3 linked regions of the Stegostoma tigrinum genome follow. The protein of the gene in region 3 purifies or fractionates together with the protein of the main gene of each other region. This does not show direct contact. Links are inferred from orthologs where the notes say so. Each region holds a gene or a part of one and is shown on either strand. Other genes may lie near its edges.

The links.
Region 1: the proteins of arhgap12b (region 3) and arf-GAP with SH3 domain, ANK repeat and PH domain-containing protein 1-like purify together in Homo sapiens (co-immunoprecipitation; 3 studies listed by BioGRID and IntAct, with this or other methods). This does not show direct contact. The link is inferred for Stegostoma tigrinum from reciprocal best matches to the Homo sapiens genes ARHGAP12 and ASAP1.
Region 2: the proteins of arhgap12b (region 3) and tight junction protein ZO-2-like purify together in Homo sapiens (co-immunoprecipitation; 3 studies listed by BioGRID and IntAct, with this or other methods). This does not show direct contact. The link is inferred for Stegostoma tigrinum from reciprocal best matches to the Homo sapiens genes ARHGAP12 and TJP2.

What each region holds. Positions count from the first base shown.
Region 1 is NC_081358.1:50,931,461-50,938,940, forward strand, and holds the start of arf-GAP with SH3 domain, ANK repeat and PH domain-containing protein 1-like, read right to left. Parts: upstream 3,051-7,480; 5' UTR 2,739-3,050; intron 2,101-2,738; exon of another isoform or gene 2,082-2,100; 5' UTR 2,058-2,081; coding exon 1,999-2,057; intron 1-1,998. UniProt on the Homo sapiens protein: Possesses phosphatidylinositol 4,5-bisphosphate-dependent GTPase-activating protein activity for ARF1 (ADP ribosylation factor 1) and ARF5 and a lesser activity towards ARF6.
Region 2 is NC_081356.1:27,980,753-27,987,695, reverse strand, and holds the start of tight junction protein ZO-2-like, read right to left. Parts: upstream 3,102-6,943; 5' UTR 2,979-3,101; coding exon 2,907-2,978; intron 1-2,906. UniProt on the Homo sapiens protein: Plays a role in tight junctions and adherens junctions. Acts as a positive regulator of RANKL-induced osteoclast differentiation, potentially via mediating downstream transcriptional activity.
Region 3 is NC_081355.1:127,967,771-127,975,034, forward strand, and holds the start of arhgap12b (rho GTPase-activating protein 12b), read right to left. Parts: upstream 3,029-7,264; 5' UTR 2,820-3,028; intron 1-2,819. UniProt on the Homo sapiens protein: GTPase activator for the Rho-type GTPases by converting them to an inactive GDP-bound state.

The sequences.
Region 1 (7,480 bases), on a different chromosome or scaffold from region 3:
TTTGAAGTAGTAATGTTGGTGAAACTGTCAGCAATCCCTAAGCTATCAATGACTTAATGAGAAATTCCACAATGTTGATTTCCCCTGAACTGTAAAAATTATTGGCCAAAAATCATATTGATTGATGTGTAAGTGGAACTCTAATGGTAAACACACTTCATAATCATTGATACTTACTGGCCCTTATAAGCTCATTTTAATTTGGTAAAGGATTACATTCCTCCATTGTAGAAAAGAACGCCACTTCTTTTAATGTAACCCTACCCTCTAAATAAAACAACGATCTTTTAGGGCCATGCCTGGTCTAATCGCAGCCATTTATTTTTCCATCTGAAAATCCAAATTAAGAATAAAAGGCGATCAGTGCCTCTAACTTCCTACTTTGCCATCTGTGAGAATACCGCAGTATGATTGGCTATTTACCCTGCTTGTCCACATCACCGTTACTGAATATCATTCCGTCGACTTAATGCTAGATTTAAGCAGCCACAAAGAATCGGAAATCTGCCAAATACAAGATCGCTACCTTCGACTATTTGAGTACTCTGAGGTGAGCGCCGTTGCTTCATTGCCAACATCTCTGCGAATATTATTTTTCTCTTTGAAATATAACTGACACTTAATTCTTCCTCTGTGCTACTTATTAATAATTCTTCAACTTGATTGCAAACAATGCAAGGAACCTTATCTCCTTAATCAAAGAACCCATATCCCCTGAAGAGACCCGTCAGGTTTTCAAATGGTTAGATCAGAGGAACTTGCAGTTCACAGAAAGGTAAGTGCCGGCATCAATCTGCATTCGCCGCTGACCATAAAATACGGCCCTGCACATTCTTTCAGTCGTTTGTAGCCCTTATTCTTATTCCATCACATGGAGCCTATTGCGCCACCTTCAGGTTTTAAACAAGGGACAATAGCAATAAATCTTAAAGATGTTCTACGCAATTCAAGGGTGCGTATATGTTCTACTGCCACATCATCATTTGTTCAAAAGAGAAAAGCTTTCCGCCAAACAGCTGCATTTTTTTTCGTTTTTAGTGCAGGTCTCCTCTTGCAACTCAAAAAAACAAACAACCGTTCCCCCACCAAAGCCGCATATTCCTTTACTTCATAATTTAGGCAGTAAAAGCTGCTTTAAAATAATGCAAAATGAAGGAATTTCTAGGACAAAGCGTGTGTTTTTTTTTGCTGCTGCGTCCAGTCGGCTTAGGCCCAAGAATAAACAACATTAGGTAGATAAGTAAAATTGTGAACTGAGAATTGTCTATATGCTGAGTCAGAGTAACATTTTAACATTTCATCAGCTCACACACGATTCAAATCCCCCTGAAAACCGAGGCTTCCCTCTGCATCTTCAACAGATATGTTCCCAGGCTAATTTAAAGGGGGGGGGGGAGCTGCTGTCTTGTTTTCCCTTGATATTTCCTTCCAAAGTTGATTATTTCCCAGCAAATTCCTTGTAGAATAGAAGTGGTGCTTGCGGTTTGTGGGTGTTTTGTCTGTTGGGGGTGGGAGTCGTTGAGAAAGGGTCTGGGAGTAATCTGTCATCTCTCAAAAGATCCAGATCTGTGGAGGTCTTACATGAGAGAGAAACAAAAACTAGTTTGAAGGGGTGGTTTATGTATTCATTGGTGTGATACCAGAAACTTCGCATCGTTGGTCAATGCTCAGGTTAGCGTATTCCTCCTCAATATGTCTTGAACCAAAGAACACTCAGGATCGTGAAGCAAGTGCCACCATTCTGGCAATGTTCAGTCTCACCAGGAAGTCCCGTGGCGCACACATTTGTCCTTCCCACCTTCACCCAACATTCCGCGACCCTTCCTCAGTCAACTGGCCCGCTCCGCCCGTCTTCCTATCTCCCTGTCTCCCGCCCATCTCCATGGTTGACCCAGGAGAATCCGAACAACGGCAGATTCGCTCTCGAAAGGACAGTATTGGGAATCATGTTGTAAGAGAGAGAGAGAGCTGGCGTCGTGCTGTTAACCCCTAGCTTACCGGTTCCATAATGAATCCCTGGAGGAGAAGGTTGATATTCTGGAGGTGGAAGACCTCATGGTTTATTTCACACCGAATCCGACCTTAACATGAATGAAAGCAGCAGTGAGTTTGACTGGCCCCTTGGCGATCGAAATGGAGATCTTAATCGCAGTTTATTTTTGTAACAGCCTGGATTCACACGGGATTTACGAACGACTTCACCACCAATTTGAATGTGGAAAGGGAGGGGGTGTAGAGGGAGGGATAAAGTAGACATGACATAACCCCAGGACAAAGCTAGACAAGGTTTCTCTTTTCATCAATCTCTTTTAGAATTCTAAAAGTGATTTTATCTACTCATTTACAAGATCAAAGAGTATGCTGAGTTTTCTTTAAAGCGCCTAAAATGTTAAATGTATGCGTCAGTATCCTAGTTGACCGATTAATCTTCAGTTGGAACTTTCAGATTTCCGAAATGATATTGTGGTTATTTTTTTTTAAGTTTTCAAATACTTCTCGTACAAGAAGTTGATTATCGATGTAATGGGTCCAATCTCTAAATTTCTAAAGGTTCTGGAGATCGGTCAGAGAAAGGTATTGCGCGTCATGTTCTGAGGCGACTTTTAAAAAAAAATATACATTATTAATAATGTTTCTTAATAATGTGCGGAAGTCATTCGGGATATTTTGTGCCACGCCAGTAACTCAGCTGAGTGCTGCCGTTTCTTTCACCCCGTCTGCGGTGTTCAGTAACTTACCAAAACTGGAATTGATTTTCTTCCTGACCAAAGTTTGTAGGTAAGGTTTGTTGCCATTATATCATTTTCATCCCTGGGCTATACGGCAGCTTTCCCCTTCACAGTCTTGTTTTAGGTGATGATCGACAGTTAAGAAAATCTTGTTGATTCGAAACCAGCAATGGAGAGAAGAGAACTGTGATTCGTGTCCATATCCGTTCCTTGTGCTCTGTGGAAAGCTGGGAATCAGAAACGGAAGGAAAATCCACCATGTGAGCGGCATAAAATACAATGGAGAGAAATGTGGCTGACAGCAGAAACTCCAGGAAATCCAACTAATCCAACGGAAATAAGATATATCTGAAAAAACATGCCCTGGAGCTGCACATCTTCAATTTTTCACATCTAGCCAGTGGTCATCGTATACACCTATTAACAGCACGAAATTGTGTTTATAATAAACACACATGAGTGTTAAGTAAATGTAAACAATAGTTGTATTTTTAACAATATGCTGTTAATGATAAGGAGTGTAAAACCTTACTCAACATTAGGTGGACAAATGTCACCCTGCTAATTTTGTCCAATTTCGAAGTCAAATATCACGATTGTAGATGAACAGAAGATGTCAGGAAGCTAGGAGTAGAGAGGAAATCTTTCAACATTTCCAGCTCATTCTGTCACTGGAGATCGTGACTAGACTGTGACTTAACACCTTTTACCAATCTTTGCCCTGTCTTATTTCATGACACTATTTCTCTTTCCACGAATGCTGCCAGATCTGGCTTCTCTGGCATTTTCTGTAAATCTGTAAAATTTTCAGAATCTGCAATTTTTTTTGAGTTCTTAATAACTTTGCTGAAGGAAACTATCAATCCCAGATTTGGAATTAACAAATAATTACCTTCATTTTACATGTGTAGAGGAGAGTTTCATTGTTCTGCCACCCTTGTGTGTCCAAGAATTCCTCAGTATTATTCCTGAAAGACAGGTTCCAATTTATATATGGTACCCCCAGCGCTTGACTCCATCACAAGTGGAATTATATTCTCTATGCCCACTACATTTGTTCTCCTGAATACATTGCAAATTCCAACTAAATCACCACACAGCCTTCTAGATATCAAAGAATACAACCCTGGGTTTCTGTTATCAATCCTTGTAATTTGACATTTGGAGTCTACGGATTATTCTTGGAGAACAAAAACAAATTACTGAATAAACTCAACTGGACTCACTACATCAAAGCAGTGGTTACAAGAGGAGGTCAGAAGCTAGAACTATGCACTGAGTAACTCACCTCCTGACTGCTCAAAGCCTGTCCACCATCTGCAAAGCACAAGTCAGAAGAGTGATGGAATACTTCCCACTTACCTGGATGAGTGTAGCCCCAACAACACTCAAGAAACTTGCAACCATCCAGTACAAAGCAGCCTGCTAGATTGGCACTACACCCACAAGCATCCACTCCCTCCACCACTGCACAGTAGCAGCAGTGTGTACTATCTACAAGATGCACTGCAGAAATTCACGAAAGATCATCAGACAGCACCTTCCAAACCCACAGCCACTTCCATCTAGAAGGACAAGGGCAGCAGACGTATGGGAAGACCACCACTTCCAAGTTCCCCTCCAAGACACCCACCATCCCGACTTGGAAATATATTGCCGTTCCTTCACTGTTGCTGGGTCAAAGTCCTGGAATTCCTTCTCTAAAAGCACTGTGGGTCAACCAAAGCTGATGGACTGCAGCGGTTCAAGAAGATAGCTCAACACCACCTTCTCAAGGGCAACTAAGGAAAGGCAAGAAATGCTGGCCAGTCAGTTACGCCCACATCCCACAAATGGTTAGAAAAATATCACAGAATTGTTTCAGTGCAGAAGGAGGCCATCTGCCCATCGTGTCTGCACCACTTTTCGAATGAGCATCTCATTCGATGCCATTCTCCTGCCCACTCCCCACAGACCTGCATAACCTTCTTTTTCAAGTAATCAATATATTCACTTTTGAGTGCCTGAATTGAACCTACCTCCACTACAGTTTCCACCATTGCATTCCAGATAATAACCACTTAGTGAAAATGATTTTCTTCGTATCTTTTGCTTCTTTTACTAATTACTTTAAATCTGTATGCCCTCATTCTGGATCTTCTGTTGAGTCAAAATATTTTGTCTTGAATTCTTCTATCTGATAGGAAAATAGTCCCAACCTCTATAATATAGCTTTATAGATTAAATTCCTCATTCCTGAAACTATTCTCATAAACCCCATGCACTATCCCTAATTTTCTTTATATCTTTCCCTAAGGTGTGATGCCCAAAACTAGATGCAGTACTTCATTTGAGGTCAAACCAGTGTTTTTACAAATATTTAATGTGACATCTGTGTTCTTGTACTCAATGCCCCGATTAATAAAACCTCAAATATTGTATTTAAAAAAACTGCGGATGCTGGAAATCTGGAACAAAATAAGAAATTGTTGAAGAAACTCAGCAGGTCTGACAGCATCTGTGCAGAGAAAGTAGAGTTAACAATTTGGTTCTAGTAACCTTTCTTCAGAACTGGAATATTGTATTGGAATATTGGAATGCTAGCATACTGAATGCACGATTAACTATTCTTTTCTTCTGTTCAGCCACCTTGTATGGCTTATGCACATAGACACCTTGGAAAGGGTGCAATACACCCCAGAGTCTGGAAAAGTGAAAAAGACGCAGATAATACTGAAAATACTCCACAGGCAAGGGGGCCGGCACAGTGGCTCAGTGGTTAGCACTGCAGCCTCACAGCACCAGAGACCCAGGTTTGATTCCAGCCTCGGGCAACTCCCTGTGCAGAGTTTACACATTCTCCCCGTGTCTGCGTGGGTTTCCTCCGGGTGCTCCGGTTTCCTCCCACAGTCCAAAGATGTGCAGGCTAGGTTGATCGGCCATGCTAAATTGCCATAGTGTTCAGGGGTGTGTGGGTTATAGGGGAATGGGTCTGGGTGGGATGCTCCAAGGGGTGGTGTGGACTTGTTGGGCCGAAGGGCCTGTTTCCACACTGCAGAGAATCTAATCTAATCTAGTCTAATTGGTGTGTAACATCTGTGGAGATTAACAGAGTTAATGTTAAATTCTTGTAAAACATTGCTGCACTACTTTCAAGGCCATTTTACACTTCAAAAGATGCAGTACTCACAACTGTTCACATTACTCCAGTATGGACTAAAACAGAGTTTTGTAGCTGAAGGATAACTTTAACATTGTTTTATTCTAAATTTCAGGTTGTAAAACACATTTTGTTAGCAATTTTGATTAATTTTGAAACCTGTTTATGACATTTTAATGATCTATATATCTCAACCCCAACTCTGTTTGAATATGTACTTCCTAACAATTTATCATTTAGTTTCATTTTAGCCAGATTCAGATGATCTACTCTTTACAAACCCTTGCAGGTTATCTCGGACTGCTGAGAAGTTTCATATACCCTATCCTGAATGATTCAAACAGTTTGCCAGCAACAGATCTGAGACTATCTGGTCTAAAATTGGTTTATCTTTTTCACATTTTTGATTGATGTAATTAATTTGCATCTGCACAGGATGCATCTCAGGGTTCTTTAGCTTACATTCTTAGTAATCACATAATTTTCAGTTCCTTAGTTTCGTGTATGATATCTACTAGCATATATTTGCATATGATTTATCTGTTTAATTCATTGTGCTTTCTCAAAGCAAATTAGTTTACAAAGTTTCAATGAAACCTTTTCCAAAAATCTGATCATCTTCCTCAAATATTACTGCTTTTTTTTCCCCAAAAATGGTAAACTTTTTCTAAGTGCAATAAGATTCCTTTAATCCTAAAGCTACCCTTCCATTTGCATTGATGAGAATGACAAACTAACCTCATCATAGTACAGCTTTTCTATTCTTAACCATAGCCAACCTTATAAGCCAACATCTCGGTTGAATCTGATCCTAACACAATTGTTATGGATGATGGTAAGTGGCAAATTGATCTCTTGTATTCTCATCACGTTCTGTGTGTAAGCAGGTTGGTTTAATTTCGAATAGGCTATAATTTTTTCCTAAACTCCGATTTGTGAAGATTTTTTGAAAGCGACTCGCACAGCAACTCTGTTTAGGTTTAAATCAAGAGTGTTGTTCTATTAATTTCAAACCTAGGGCAGCCTTTTCAACTTCAGGCACACAAAGCATCCAAGAAAGAAATAAGAAAGGAAGAGTTTTCTAACTAAGAATAAATTTATACTAAAGAGTTTAGTGTTTAATAAAAGTCACGCAAATCAGAGTTGTCTTGACTTGTGAGTTAAAAGTTTATGTTAGTCTACGTGGCTGATGACAGGAGTTGCAGGATTCTGATAAAGTTGCTGATGAAGCAGCAAGATGGTGTTAGTGTAATGGGAGTTCTGGAGAAGGGTCACTGAACGCAAAACATTAACTCTCCTTTCTCTCCATAGATGCTGCCAGACCTGCTGAGTTTCTCAAATAGTTTCTGTTTTCGTTGGAAAAATGAAAATAGTCCACTTTGCAGGAATATATAGAGATCTTTTGGAACTAGATTTTTGAGGATATTTGATCAAGAGGTAGGCTTCGCTATCAGCCTGGAGCCTCTCAGCTTACTTTCAACAATCTGTTTGTCTGTCCCTTTTATTTCTCTCTCTCTCTCACACACATTCTCTGTGTCTCACTCTGTCTCTCTCTGGGCACTGTCTCTATGCACTCTATTCACTTCTCCCACCCTGTCATCAACATAATTAC
Region 2 (6,943 bases), on a different chromosome or scaffold from region 3:
AACTGACAACCTGTCCTGGACTTCCCATATAGATGGTCAAGGAGGCACAACAATGCCTCTTTTTTTTTCCCCCCCTGAGTTGCATGAGGAAATTTAGCATGTCCATAAAAGGTCCCTCACCAACTTCTACCAATGCACCATTGAAAGCATACTGTCCAAGTGCATAATGGTCTGGTATTGGAACTGCTCTGCCCAGGACAATAAGAAACCACAGAAGGTGGTGTGCACAGCCCAGACCATCACAGAAACCAAGCTTGCATCTACAGACTTCATTTACATGGCTCACTGCTGCACAAAGGCTGCCAACAAAGACCCACGGCACCCTAGCAATGATCTCCTACAACCTCTTCTGTCAGGAAGATACAGAAGCCTGAACACACACACCAGCAGGTTTAGGAACAGTTTCTGCCTGGCTATTACTAGATGAATGGACACTCTAACCTCAAATAACACTGATCTTACTAAACAAGAGTGATCAACTCTAAATGTTGATCTCACCTAGTACACACCCTGTGCAATATAACCTGAAGGTATCTGTCTAAGTATTTTTGATCTGTACATTGTTTGCTTACTATGATCTGCCTGTACCACTGAAACAAAACTTTTCACTGTGTTTCAGTACATAGGACAGTAAATAGAATCAAAACACCAGCAGCATGGTGGTTCAGTAGTAAGCACCACTGCCTCAGTGTCAAGGAACTAGGATTCTAGCCCTGAGCAACTGTGCAAACTCCACACACATTCTCCCCATGTCTGCACGCTTGCTGCCCACCTCTTCCCACCGCTCCCCACATCCCCCCCCACCCCCCACCCCCCCACCCCCACCACCACCCATGATCCGTTTTCCTCTCAGTCTAAAGATGTGTAGGTTACGTGGATTAGCCATGCAAAAAATTGGCCCATATAGTGTCCAGGGATGTGCGGGCTAGGTGGATTAGTCATGGCAAATAAAGTTCCAAGGATAGATTTGAGGGTGGTGTCAGACAGACACTCTTTGGAGGTTTGCTGTGAACTTGATGGGCTGAACGGTCTCTTCCAGACTCTAGGGAGTCTATGAAGATGGTCAATAAATAGCTCCTGTAGTAAGAGTTCTAGGATTCCCATGGTGGGGGAGGGGGGAAATAATGGTGTTTCACAGCTTGCATTTATATCATTGTTTAAAAACAAAACAAAAAAAGGATGGGGGAGAAAATACAAGAAAAATATAAAAATAAACAAAGACTTGCTCACTAAACTCAGTTCTCATGACCATGCTCCCTCAAGTCACATAAATCTCACCTGCTTAGTTAAAATCCACTGTTCGCAAGTGTAGCATTTTTATAGGACGAGCATTTCAATCAGTTGAGAAGGAAAAAATGGGGGAACCTTTTGGGCAAGTGCTCTTCAGAATTACTTCAAAAGTTTTCCAGTACTGAAACAGGCCATTCAATCTAAAGTGTTCCAAATAAATGCTTTATGCTCCATACGAGTCTCAGCTCACTATCAGCATACTCATCTATTCCCTTCCTCCTCTGGTGTTGTTTCAGTAGCTTGTAGTATACACCTCACTATACCCGAACACACATTCTTAGGGTAACAAAGCTTTTCCTCAAATTCCCTAATAGATCTATTACTTAATTAATATTTAGTACCAGAGTTCCAAAGAGGAGACTACAGGTGGAAGGTATAACATTTTCTACCTCAGATGAGAGCCATACAACTGCAAAGTGTACTTTCAAACATTTCAAGAAAATCACCAAAACACAGAAACTGTGCTTCAATTTAAAGAAAGAAGGGAAGAGAGAGGGAAAAGGTGAACAGAAGTCACTGATATCACAGTCCTTCTGTTATAGAGAATGGTGTAGCACAAATTTAGGCCATTTAGCTGAACTGATTGTATGCTAGTGATCATGCTTCTCCCAACTCATCAATATATCCTTCTATTTCTTTCTCAGTTCACTTGTATATTTAGTTTCCCTTTAAATGCATTCACGGTAGTTATGTCAACCACTTACTGGAGGTTAGAATTCCACTTTCAGATGTTCGCTGACCTACTTGTAATTTTCACATTTTATAGTCCTTAGTTCTTGGTTATGTGCCTTTCCTTTTTAAGGAAGGACAATTTTCGAACGAAAAAGGAGCTGAAAGGCCCAGAAATGTGGCCTCCCTGATGAACAATTATGCAGCAACAAAGCATTTTCATAAAATACCACTCTTTTACCGTGCATAGTTTTGAGAAGCACTGCAGCCGAGTAGAATGGACAAAATAAGGGATAAGGGATGAGAAATAAAATAATTACTTTAAGATTTAGTTTGCTTTTAGATGAATCTTATGTGCCAAGATGATATTAGAAAGCCTCAACTCTGTTTCCAGTAGGAGGTTCATTAAGCAGATTTGTTTTAAGATAAAACGGAAAAATAGCAAGAGGAGATTGGTTTTGCTTTGGGTCTCCAAAGCATTGTTCAGATTCAATAGTAACTTTCAGAAAAAAAAAGGGAAGAGTTCTTCATGGCCCTGGGTAAACGTAGGCACAACAAACCAAATGGTTGCCTCGTGTTTTGTCATTCCCAAAACAATACCACAGCTCAACAGGTACAAGGGGTTCACAATTCAAACATGCACACTGGACAGTTTCCAGAAAATAGCTGAAAATATTAACACAGATTAAGAATTATTTGACTAAAAGCTTTACATGATACATACAGCTGGTGTTGAAAAAAATTAGTTGCCATCCCAACAATTAATCTCTTCGAGATCATTACATTAATTTAAACTAAACTACAACAGCATGCAATTGTTAGTCTGAATTTTCCAACTACCAGGAGAAGCGAACTGTGAACAATTACAAGATTGAAAAGAAACAAACTACGGGGACTGACCATCAAGCATTAATGAAAAACAGTGACAGTAGCTTAGAAAGACTCACAAGACCACTGTAGAGCTTGAACGAATGCACTAAATTGGCCCATTTTCGCTGCAGCGTTTGGATAGACTTCATACTGAGATGCAACACTACACGGTTGCAATCGCCTACAACTAGTCAGTCCTCGCACCGAGAATCATCCATTTCCAGAAACCATCAAGCTAGATTATGCAAGCTTAATACATCGCTGCCCTACATGTAGCGCAAATCCTGCCTGTTACAATTGTGCTGGGAAGGCAAAACAGCCCATTCAGGACACAAGTCAGTCACAATCAGAACCTTGGCCGCCACACTGAATTTAGCACATTTTACATTGTACATACTAAGTAGGGCGATACTGCACAAGAATGGAAGAGTAATGCTAATCTCATCCAATTTTGAAAAGTATGTATGTGTTTTCTACTAGCCATTAACTTCAAAAAGGAAGTTGTTTTTTTCTTACATCCACTGTTATGAAAAAGAAACAAACACTCAGTGTTACAACAAGTGGGATTAAGCCTGCGAACTGGAGGAATGAGACAGGGCTCCACATTAACCATTCATTGTCCACTTGGTTGATTCAGGCTTGCAAACAAATCCAGTTTGCTTTCAGCTCAGAAAGAATTTCCAGAAACAAAAATAAACAAACTTTCTATTAGACACCTGAAACTTAGCCTGTAAAATTTCACTTCAGGCTCAGTTCAAAAACAAGATACCTTGACAAATCAGAAGAAAGCTGGTTACAGGTTAAGGAGTATCAACCTCAACTCTTGCGGCGGTAGTGGTTTGGTTTGGTTTGGTTTGTGGTCACCCGATGTGGTGTATACAAAAAGGTGGAATCCCTCTTTCCCCCCCACTGCGTGCCCCCACCCCAAAGTGGGCCAAAAAGTGGATCAATCAAAAATTTCAAAAGCAGAGATTTCAAGAGAAGGTTATCAAGGAGGTGCAGAACAGGGCAAGTGGATGGTGTTACGATACAGATAAACCGTGATCTTGCTGAATGTTAGGCCCAAAGAGGTCTGATTAGCCCCCTCCTTTTCCTACTTATATAGCAACTGCTAAGCCATTAAAACCAAAATAACCGTGGATGCTGTAAATCAGGAACAAAAACAAAAAGTTGCTGGTAAAGCCCAGCAGGTCTGGCAGCATCTGTGAAGGAAAAACCAAAGAGTTAAATGTTTCAGGCTTGGTGACCCTTCCTCAGAAGGAAGTGCTACTGCTAGGCCATGTTTGATTAGGTTCCTCACCAGCTTCCACATCTTTCAGCACCTTACTTTATAAGCTACTGCTACAAACAATTGTATTTCTGCACAATTTACACATTAATATGCTGCCTTGGTCCCAAGTTGGCCAGACTTCATTAAACACTCTGGAAAGCAGAAGGCTACCAAAATTTAAACAAAACAGGTAGCTCAGTGATTTTGTTAAACTGGGAGAACTGACAACAGAATAATGCATGGCTTTCCTTAGTTGTACTTTTAAAATTGTACCACAAAAAGGAGGGAAAAAAAAACAGGTTGGAGCTGTTTTAGGACAATATTTCATTAAAATGATCTTTATTATATGTGTGGCTGATAGAAAGCTTGCAGAAATTTGTGAGTTTCCAATGGATTTGGAAGTAGAGCCTTGCCCAGCCTATTTCATTTATGCACGAGGAACAGGGGGTGGCTATTCTGTCCTCTCAAGCCGGTTCCACTATTTAACTAAGATCATGGTTGATCTGCATTTCAACTCGGAACCATGGCATGCAGACACAATTAAAATACCTAGAGATGCTTGGTAGTGAGTGAGTGTGTAGAGGGATCTTGGTGTCCATGTACATAGATCCCTGAAAGTTGCCACCCAGGTTGATAGTGCTGTTAAGAACGCTTATGGAGTGTTCGGTTTTATTGGTAGAGGGATTGAGTTCCGGAGCTGTGGTGTCATGCTGCAACTGTACAAAACGCTGGTGCGGCCTCATTTGGAATACTGCATGCAGTTCTGGTCGCCCCATTACAGGGAGGATGTGAAAGCACTGGAAAAAGTGCAGAGGAGATTTACCAGGATGTTGCCTGGTCTGGAGCACAGGCCCCATGAAGAAAGGCTGAGGGACTTGGGTCTGTTCTCATTTGAGAGAAGGAGGCTAAGAGGGGATTTAATAGAGACATACAAGATGATCAGAGGATTAGATAGGGTGGACCGTGACAGTCTTTTTCCGAGGATGACGACTTCAGCTTGTACAAGAGGGCATAGCTACAAATTGAGGGGTGATAGATTTAAGACAGATATCAGAGGCAGGTTCTTTACTCAGTGCCAAGGATGTGGAACACCCTGCCTGCCAATATAGCTAAACTCAGCCACATTAGGGGCATTTAAACAGTCCTTGGATAAGCAGATGGATGATGGGATAGTGTAGGGGAATGGGCTTAGATTACTTCACAGGTCGGCGCAACAGAGGATTGAAGGGCCTGTTCTGCGCTATATTGTTCTATGTTCTATGAACACAAAATTGAACCCTACGCTCAAACAGGTTTTTGTAAAAAAAAAAGGAGTGGGCATACAAAGATCAGGCAGTCTGCTAGTAAATGCTATTTCTTTAGTGACAGTATCAAAAGCTCCATCTCCCAAATCCACTAACATCATAACAAGCGGTTCTCACTACAGAAATAGAATACAAGCCAAAAATCAAGCATTTTGGTAGGGAACACACGTCATACTAATACTTTGTAGCATAATCCATATTTAAAAAGGCACAACCAAAAAAGGACCTTTTTTTGAACGAGATCATCCAAAACTTGGATGAACTTGTAATGACACTAATCTTCTAATCCAAAACACATTTGGAACCCATTTTTTAAAAAAAACTCACTGCAGTTGGGTGTATTTCTGGACCAAAGATGAAACTATTTTTCCAGCTATGAATAAACATATCTGTTGATAACAAAAGCACAAAGTTTCACCTCAACTGTTGAACTCAAATGTGAACTGAAAATGTCACCATTTCCAAAGAAAACAGGAATAATCTTCCAACTGTCTGATGAATTGATAGCCAAAAATAAAGAAGCAATAGCAAGCACAGTTGGTGGTGAACCGCACAGCGTGGAGTTTGGTTTTATTCAAATAAATTTTGTTTTCAGCTTTATGCTGTGGAGTCTTGGAAATTGACTGTCAGGGAGGTTAGCAAGAACACGGTTTGAAAACAATCATTAGGTTTCAGCTAGGGAACTGCATCCAATTCTGCACATAAAACTATTAGGAAGGATGTGAAGACTTCAGGGAGAAGGAGAATGGAGAGGAACCTGGTGTCAACTTTACAACATATAAACAGGCCATTCAGCCTAACTCATCCAAAGGCAAACGACCTCAGTAAAGCAGATTGCAAACAGGAGGCTAAAATAGTATCAGAGATAATGGGAACTGCAGATGCTGGAGATTCCAAGATAATAAAATGTGAGGCTGGACAAACACAGCAGGCCAAGCAGCATCTCAGGAGCACAAAAGCTGACGTTTCGGGCCTAGACCCTAGAGCTCTCTGATGAAGGGTCTAGGCCCGAAACGTCAGCTTTTGTGCTCCTGAGATGCTGCTTGGCCTGCTGTGTTCGTCCAGCCTCACATTTTATTATCTTGCAAACAGGAGGCTATGGGGAGATGTGATAGACGTGCTTATAGTGTAACTAAAAAAGAAACTCCTTTCAATGGCAAGATGATCAGTAACCAGAGAGCAGAGATTTGAAAGGTTAACTTTAAGAGGAGTAAATATTTAGTTAGTGTGGCAAACAGTGATTAGGAATGCACTGACTGAGGATATTTTGAATCAAAATTAAACTTCCAAACAAAGAGATCAGAGTTAGTAATCAAATTTGATAGTTCTATGAAAGAGCCAGCACAGGCTCAAAATGGATTGAGTGGCTTTCCTTCTGTTTCGTCATCAATTCCATCAAAGAGAAATTTAAAACAAAATTATTCATTTTCCACACAGTAATCAGATAAAGACTACAGTTCTCGCCAATAGCTAGGATTTTTTGCAGACCACCTGCCATTTTTTGTGGCCTTAGAAGCATTCACTAATGCAAAACAAAACT
Region 3 (7,264 bases):
GTGGAGGCCAAGACTCTGGATACTTTCAAGAAAGAGATGGATAGAGCTCTTAAAGATAGTGGAATCAAGGGTTATGGGGATAAGGCAGGAAGGGGATACTGATTGTGGATGATCAGCCATGATCATAATGAATGGTAGTGCTGGCTCGAAGGGCCAAATGGCCTACTCCAGCACCTACTGTCTATTGTCTATTGTCACAAAGAACCAGGCAAGGCAAGTTGGACAAAAAGGAAATCGGTGAGACCAACTCCCAACCAGTATGTTGGGTGAGTGAAGGAGTTAGCAAGACTGCACTGAGGTTGACGAGTCTGAGTTCATTGCTTATGAGGCTATGATAGCATTGATGCAGCCTTTTAAAAATGGGAGGTTAGGCACACAGAAAAATTGCTGGCTAACCTCAGATGGAGTCAAGTCTGGGATGCCAGCAGAAGAATAGGGACATCTGAAGGGTTGAGGTATGGTCTGGGAAAGGCAGAGTACCTGAAAGAGCAGAAATGAAAGGAGGTCTAATAACAGACGAACAGTGTATAGGTTTGGCAAAGAGAAAAAAAATTTAAAGACAAAAGGAAACAACAAAGTAGAAAGAAGCACTGGGTGCACAACTGAGCAATCAAGTAAAGAACACATGCAAATGAATATTGGGAAAGCTTCTGTCATGTCAGCAGGTTATGTATTGTTAGTTAGCTCGTATGTAACAGCAACAAATAGGGAATAAAAATGAAAGGAACTGCTGAAAAATCAGGAACAAAAACAAAGTTGCTGGAAAAGCTCAGCAGACCTGGCAGCATCTGTGAAGGAGAAAACAGAGTTAACATTTAGGGTCCAGTTCCGAGGAAGGGTCACCGGACCCGAAACTTTAACTCTGTTTTCTCCCACACAGATGCTGCCAGACCTGCTGAGCTTTTCCAGCAACTTTGTTTTTGAACAAACAGGGAATGCTGAGGTAATAATAGCAGTCATAAGTCAAAGCCATAATTCTTGTAGTGGGGTACAGCTGACACAAGTTGATCGAATCAGTAGAGAGTACTGATGAACCCTTCTTCAAATTTGGAATAGTGTGCAAAAGAATGAAGCAGCATCACAGAAAGCTCAGGAATTCCTGCTGGAGTGAGGATCCAGGAGGTCTATAGATCAGTTGAAGTGTAAAGATGATGGCAAAGTTAGAGGCCATCACATGACCTGGGAGTAACAACGTATCTGCCAGTCCAAGGTGGTACATTGCTGGGTAGTAACCAGACTTTACATAATGCTGACAAACCAGAACAAAAACAAAACACAGAAGAGACTGAGACCCTCCAAAGCAGCATTAGGGGGAGACTGACACTGATCATAATTACTGTGAAACATAAGCAACAGAGCAACAAATCACAAGTACAGTATTTGCATCTTGCGACATAAACCTGTGCTGTTCAGTGTTGAAGTGCAGTGTTAATCAAGAATTTTCAGGAATTTGAAGGAATACGCAGCACTCGAAGATAAAATAATGGGGAAAAGTAGGACATTGGCTAGTTATGACACTCATTTGAAGGGAAAGTGCATGCATGCTGGACCAAATGGCCTCTTTCTGTGCTATAACAATTCCATGCTTCTGGAGGGAATCCAGTGTGAACCTGTGGCTGGGGATGTGGGAATAGCAATTGAAACAAGCAATTACCTTGACATTAGAGCTAATTGTCTACTATTACAGTCAGGGGAACTTACAGTGGGCCAAGTGTGGCAGAGATTGGCCAAGAATTTAAGTCCACAGTGAGGAGGAGCTCCCTATCAAGCTGACTACATAGGGAGGCATCTTGGGGGAAAATAAAATAACAAACTTGCAATGTAAAAAAAAAATTGTGTACCAGTGTCCCTGGGTCATGTAATAACTTGACAAGCAATTCATTCCTGATCAGTAAAAATTTCCAGCTGTTTTAATAAGGCAAGGTTTTTGTAAACCAAAATGTAAATTATTGGCCCTGCATGAAATTAGCAATTACAATTTTCAGGAGAGCAATAACTTCTTTCACAAATACAAATTTAACCGTAGATAATGCAAATGAGCAAAGAAAAACCCCTGTGGCTCCATAGATGAAACAACAACGCAAAGAGGAAAATGATCATTCCGTATACAGAGAAAATCTACTCCTTTCTCCAGCCTTCAAACCATATCGGTCAATACAAAACAAGTATGTTTGGGAGGGTAGAGGAGGGATGCATTTGAGCATGGTGCGGGGAAATGGACAAAGATAGGAGTTGTGGAGTATGCGGCTGTGTGGATTGAGGGGGGAGACTGTTGTGTGGGGCCAATAAGACTGCATCAAGGGGGGCGATTTGGAGGTTGTGTGTCACGGTTGGGATGAGTATGAGTGGGTGAGAGGATAATGGGGTTGTGTGGAGGTTAGGGACTGGGAGGCATTAGCAGTTTTATGAGAGTTAGAGGCTGAATTGAGGGGGTGGAAGCGGACAAGAGGCGATGGGTGAACTGTGAGGTGGTTGGATGGAGTTGGTGTCTTTGAGGGGTCAGGGCACTGAGTCTGTCACGGTGCAGGTGATTTCCCTGTGATTTATTGTGTCAGATCTATGAAGGTTTAGGGCGGCCACTGGGTAAATCTGAGGTTTCCTTGTGGTTACTGCTTCCTCCTTCGCTTTAACCGAGGCCCCGGTCCCGGCCTCCACCACCCACACACTGCTCACTCCACAGCGAAACGGAAGGCGATCAATTCGTATTAGCGACCATATCATTAGTGGACAGACAGCACAGCGAGGCAGAGAAACTTTTCACTACGAATGCACTTCACGCTCCAAACTTTGACAAATACATAATAAAAAAAATCACGCACCTGCTTCGGACGATGACCGCAACAGCCGGGGAAAGAAACAGGCGAAAGGAGAACGTTTAATTTTCTGGAGACCTTATTTAATGTCTGTAAACTGAAGTCTCTCTTACAGATCTGATTTTTTTTGTTACTGTATGTCATGGTACTAATCCCCCCACCCCCCCGGCCGTCGAACAAACCAGACTGCGCCTCGTTTCCAACCAGCGCGCGTGCACGACCCACCGATCATCTCCAACCACCCGCGCGCACGTACGCACTCCTTCGTCCCGAACAGCGCCGGTCCTTCACCCGCCCCGCCCCTCACATCGCCTCTTCTCCTCAAGCCTTCCATTCTCCTTCTGCAAGCTCTCAGGATAGTCTGCGCGTGCGTATGGCTGAGGTGGTTGCCGAGCAACGACCATTTTCGGCTGTCAGAAGCAGTGTTGGTTCCGTGGGGTGAGCGGGAGGAAGGAAGCGGCAGCCGCTGGCTTGCAAGGTAAAGTTTATCATGGTGAAGGATAGCGAGTCACTCCCGCCTCCTTTACCCCCGCCCCTCAGAAAAATACACCGTCCAGCACATGTTGGCTTTGAGTGTGCATGTCTGTGAAGCAATGGAGACGATCACCGCGAATCGAAAGACGCTTATCAAAACTTTTGTGAAGACTTCATGAGTGACGGGGCTCGATTTTCTTGGTGTTGCTCCAGCGAGTTGTAACCACGTACGAGGGAGTCGAGTGTTATGGAAGCAGGTGGGTAAGTTAAGAGCATAGCCTGATTAGCCATGATGGTATTGAATAGCAGAAAGGCTGGATGGGCAAATGTTTTCTTTTCCCCCTAGAATTCCCGTCGTAAGAGCACTGTGGATCAGCAGACGGAACGTGGACTGCAGCGGCTCACCGTTACCTTCTCAAGGGTAGCTAGGGAATGGAAATAAATGCTGGCCAACCAGCAACACCTGTGCCCCACGAGTGAAAAAAATAGAAATAGCTGTATGGTCTCAGGATCAATGTCTAATTGGAACTAGTGAGTGAGTTTTCTTCTAAACCAGCCGTATTTGGACCTTAGTAAGAAGCAGGATCAAAGAACAATACAGCACAGGAACAGGCCCTTCAGTCCTCCAAGCCTGCGCTGATCCATATCCTCTATCTAAACCTGTCGCCTATGTTCCAAGGATCTGTATCCCTCTGCTCCCTGCCCATTCATGTATCTGTCTAGGCACATTGTAAATGATGCTCTCGTGCCTGTCTCTACCACCTCTGCTGGCAACGCATTCTGGGCACTCACCACCCTCTGTGTAAAGAATTTCCCATATCTCCTTCTCACCTTGAAATCGTGACCCCTGGTAATTAAGTCCCCCCACTCTGGGAAGAAGCTTCTTGTATCCACCTCTCATTATTTTGTGGACCTCAAACAGTTGCCCCCTCAACCCCCATCTTTCTAATCTAAATAATCCTAATTTACTCAACCTCTTTTCAAAGCTAGTGCTCTCCATACCAGGCAACATCCTGTTGAGCTCCTCTGCACCCTCTCCAAAGCATCCACGTCCTTTTGGTAAGTTGGCGACCAGAACTGTAGGCAGTATTCCAAATTTGGTCGACCCAAAGTCCTATACAACTGTAGCATGACCTGCAACTCTTGTACTCAATACCCTGTACGATGAATGAAAGCATGCCATATGCCTCCTTGATCACTCTATCGACCTTCGTTGCCACCTTCAGGGTACAATGGACCTTCGACCTGCATTGCCACCTTCAGGGGTACAATGGACCTGAGCACCCAGATCTCTCTGTGCATGAAGTTTCCCCAGGACATTTCCATTTACCGTATAGTTCAGCCTTGAATTGACTCTTTCAAAATGCATCACCTCGCATTTGCCTGGATTGAACTCCGTCTGCCATTTCTCCAATCTATCTGTATTCTGCTGCATTCTCTGACAGACCCGTTCACTATCTGCTATCCCACCAATCTTAGTGTCATCTGCAAACTTGCTAATCAGACCATCTATACTTTCCTCCAGATCATTTATGTATATCACAAACAACAGTGGCCCCAACACGGATCCCTGTGGGACACCACTGGTCACAGTTCTCCATTTTGAGAAACTCCCTTCCACTGTAACTCTCTGTCTGTTGTTGTCCAGCCAGTTTTCTATCCATCTAGCCAGTACACCCTGGACCCTGTGCAACTTCACTTTCTCCATCAGCCTACCATGGGGAACCTTACCAAATGCCTTACTGAAGTCCATGCATATGGCATCTACAGCCCTTGCATTATCTATCAACTTTGTCACTTCCTCAAAAAATTCTATCAAATTGGTAAGACATGACCTTCCCTGCACAAAACCATGCTGCCTATCACTAGTAAGCCCATTTTCTTCCAAATGTAAATAGATCCTATCCCTCAATATCTTCTCCAGCAGCTTCCTCACCACTGACGTCAGGCTCACCAGTCTATAATTACGTGGATTATCCTTGGGACCCTTCTTAAACAAGGGGACAGCATTAGCAATTCTCCAGTCCTTCAGGACCTCACCCGTGATCAAGGATGCTGCAAAGATATCTGTTAAGGCCCTAGCTATTTCCTCTCTCACGTCCCTCAGAAACCTGGGATAGATCCCGTCTGGGCCTGGGGACTTGTCCGCCCTTATGCCTTTTAGAATACCCAACACTCCCCCCCCACCCCCCGCCACCGCCACTCCTTATACTGACTTGACCTAGAGTAATCAAACATCTGTCCTTAACCTCAACATCTGTAGTGTCCCTCTCCTCAGATCTTTCAAGTTTAATCCATATCAACATGTGCAATTTAAACAAATCTTTTGCAGGAAGTCAAACTGAATGTATTTGTATTCAGCCATCCACAGATAAGGAGTTAAGGCTGCAGGAAGCACCGAATTAATCCTATTATTCACTGGACAATTTGAAATAAATCAAAGTATCATTATTGTTATGCTCCAGCAAATATCCACTTACCAAACGGAATTATTCTGGATCTCTTGGAACATAGGAATAAGCACAAAATAGGTTAAGAAATACATTTGCCAATGAAATAATGTGAGATCACCCAAGAACATGTGTAGAATCCTCTTGTGAAATAAAGTCCAGTTATAGAGGCACTACTTTTACTATCTAGCTAGTAAAATGAGAGAATGTACTTCAGCGTTACAAAGCCACTAAATCATAACAAGAGCAAAATTTGACAAGGTCATGGCTGATCTACAGCCTAACTTTGTTTAAAGATTTACACATGTTTCTGGCAGCAGATGTAAGGATTGCTGATCTGGACAGAGTAGATAGGGAGAAACTTCCAGCTGATGAGATAGGAGGGTGCAGTTATTAGGTAATTTTCAAAAGCAAGTGTGATGTGACCAACAGACTTTCTTGTGTATCAAACAGTAATGGTCTGGAACACTGGTGGAGGCAGCTTCAGTTGAGGCATTTGAGATGACCTTGGGTGATAATTGAATATAAGCAATATTCAGGGAGTGGGGGGGTGTGGTAGAAGAATGCCACCAAGTTGTAATGCTCTTCTAGGGAGCCAGTCTATCCATGAATGGCCAAATGGCCACTTCCTGAGCTGTGACGATTCTGTGATTTTTGTTTCATGTTCTGTTATTTCTCCCATCAACCCGAACAACAGTGACATGCACCATTTCCAATCTAATTAATAATGGATTATTCAGAATATCCATCACCTTATGATTTTTATTGGCAATTACAATGATCGGTTTTCCTAGGACCTACATTGCTTCTAGCGATTCTCGTTTTACCTCTGTTATGGAAGTTGATTATAAATAATATTTTGACCTGTTAGTTTGTTTGCAAGCAACACATATTGAAGACTAATTGATGGATTTCAGAAACATCTGATATGCAGGTATGGCCATTTGTGCTCAGTTCAAAGGCAGGTCCTCGGCCAAGTGTCTGCTGATAGAGGAAACAGGGAATGTCCTAAGAATAACTGATTAGTACACAGTTCCAGAACTGAATCCTGGAATTTTCAAATGATCTTTTATATTAATTCTGACGTTTATAAAATTATGATGTTTTGGCAATTTCACTTTAAGGGAAAATGAAGGTGGTTGAGACCTGTTCTGCAGTTTGCTTGCTAGTAAGCCGGATCAATAGAGGATTTGCTTGGAGATTGTGGCAGCAGTGTCTGAAATCATGATGATGAGTAGATTCTGAGAGGCAATTTTGTCAACAACATGCTATTCCCAATGGCACAAACCAAAGTGTACACCACTTCTTATGTCTTACTATTTTCCATTTTCCATGCAATTAAAATTAAGATTTGAGATTCCAAATTTGAGCACTAAACACATGCCCAGTCATGCATTGGGAGAAGCTTTTCCATGGGCAAAGAGAAGCTCTGCCTCATGTCTGCAACTTTCCAGCCAACTTCATTGCCATGAATGTTAGGCTTATTTATTGAGAATGCAATGGTGGCTCAGGTGGTTTCCAAACTCT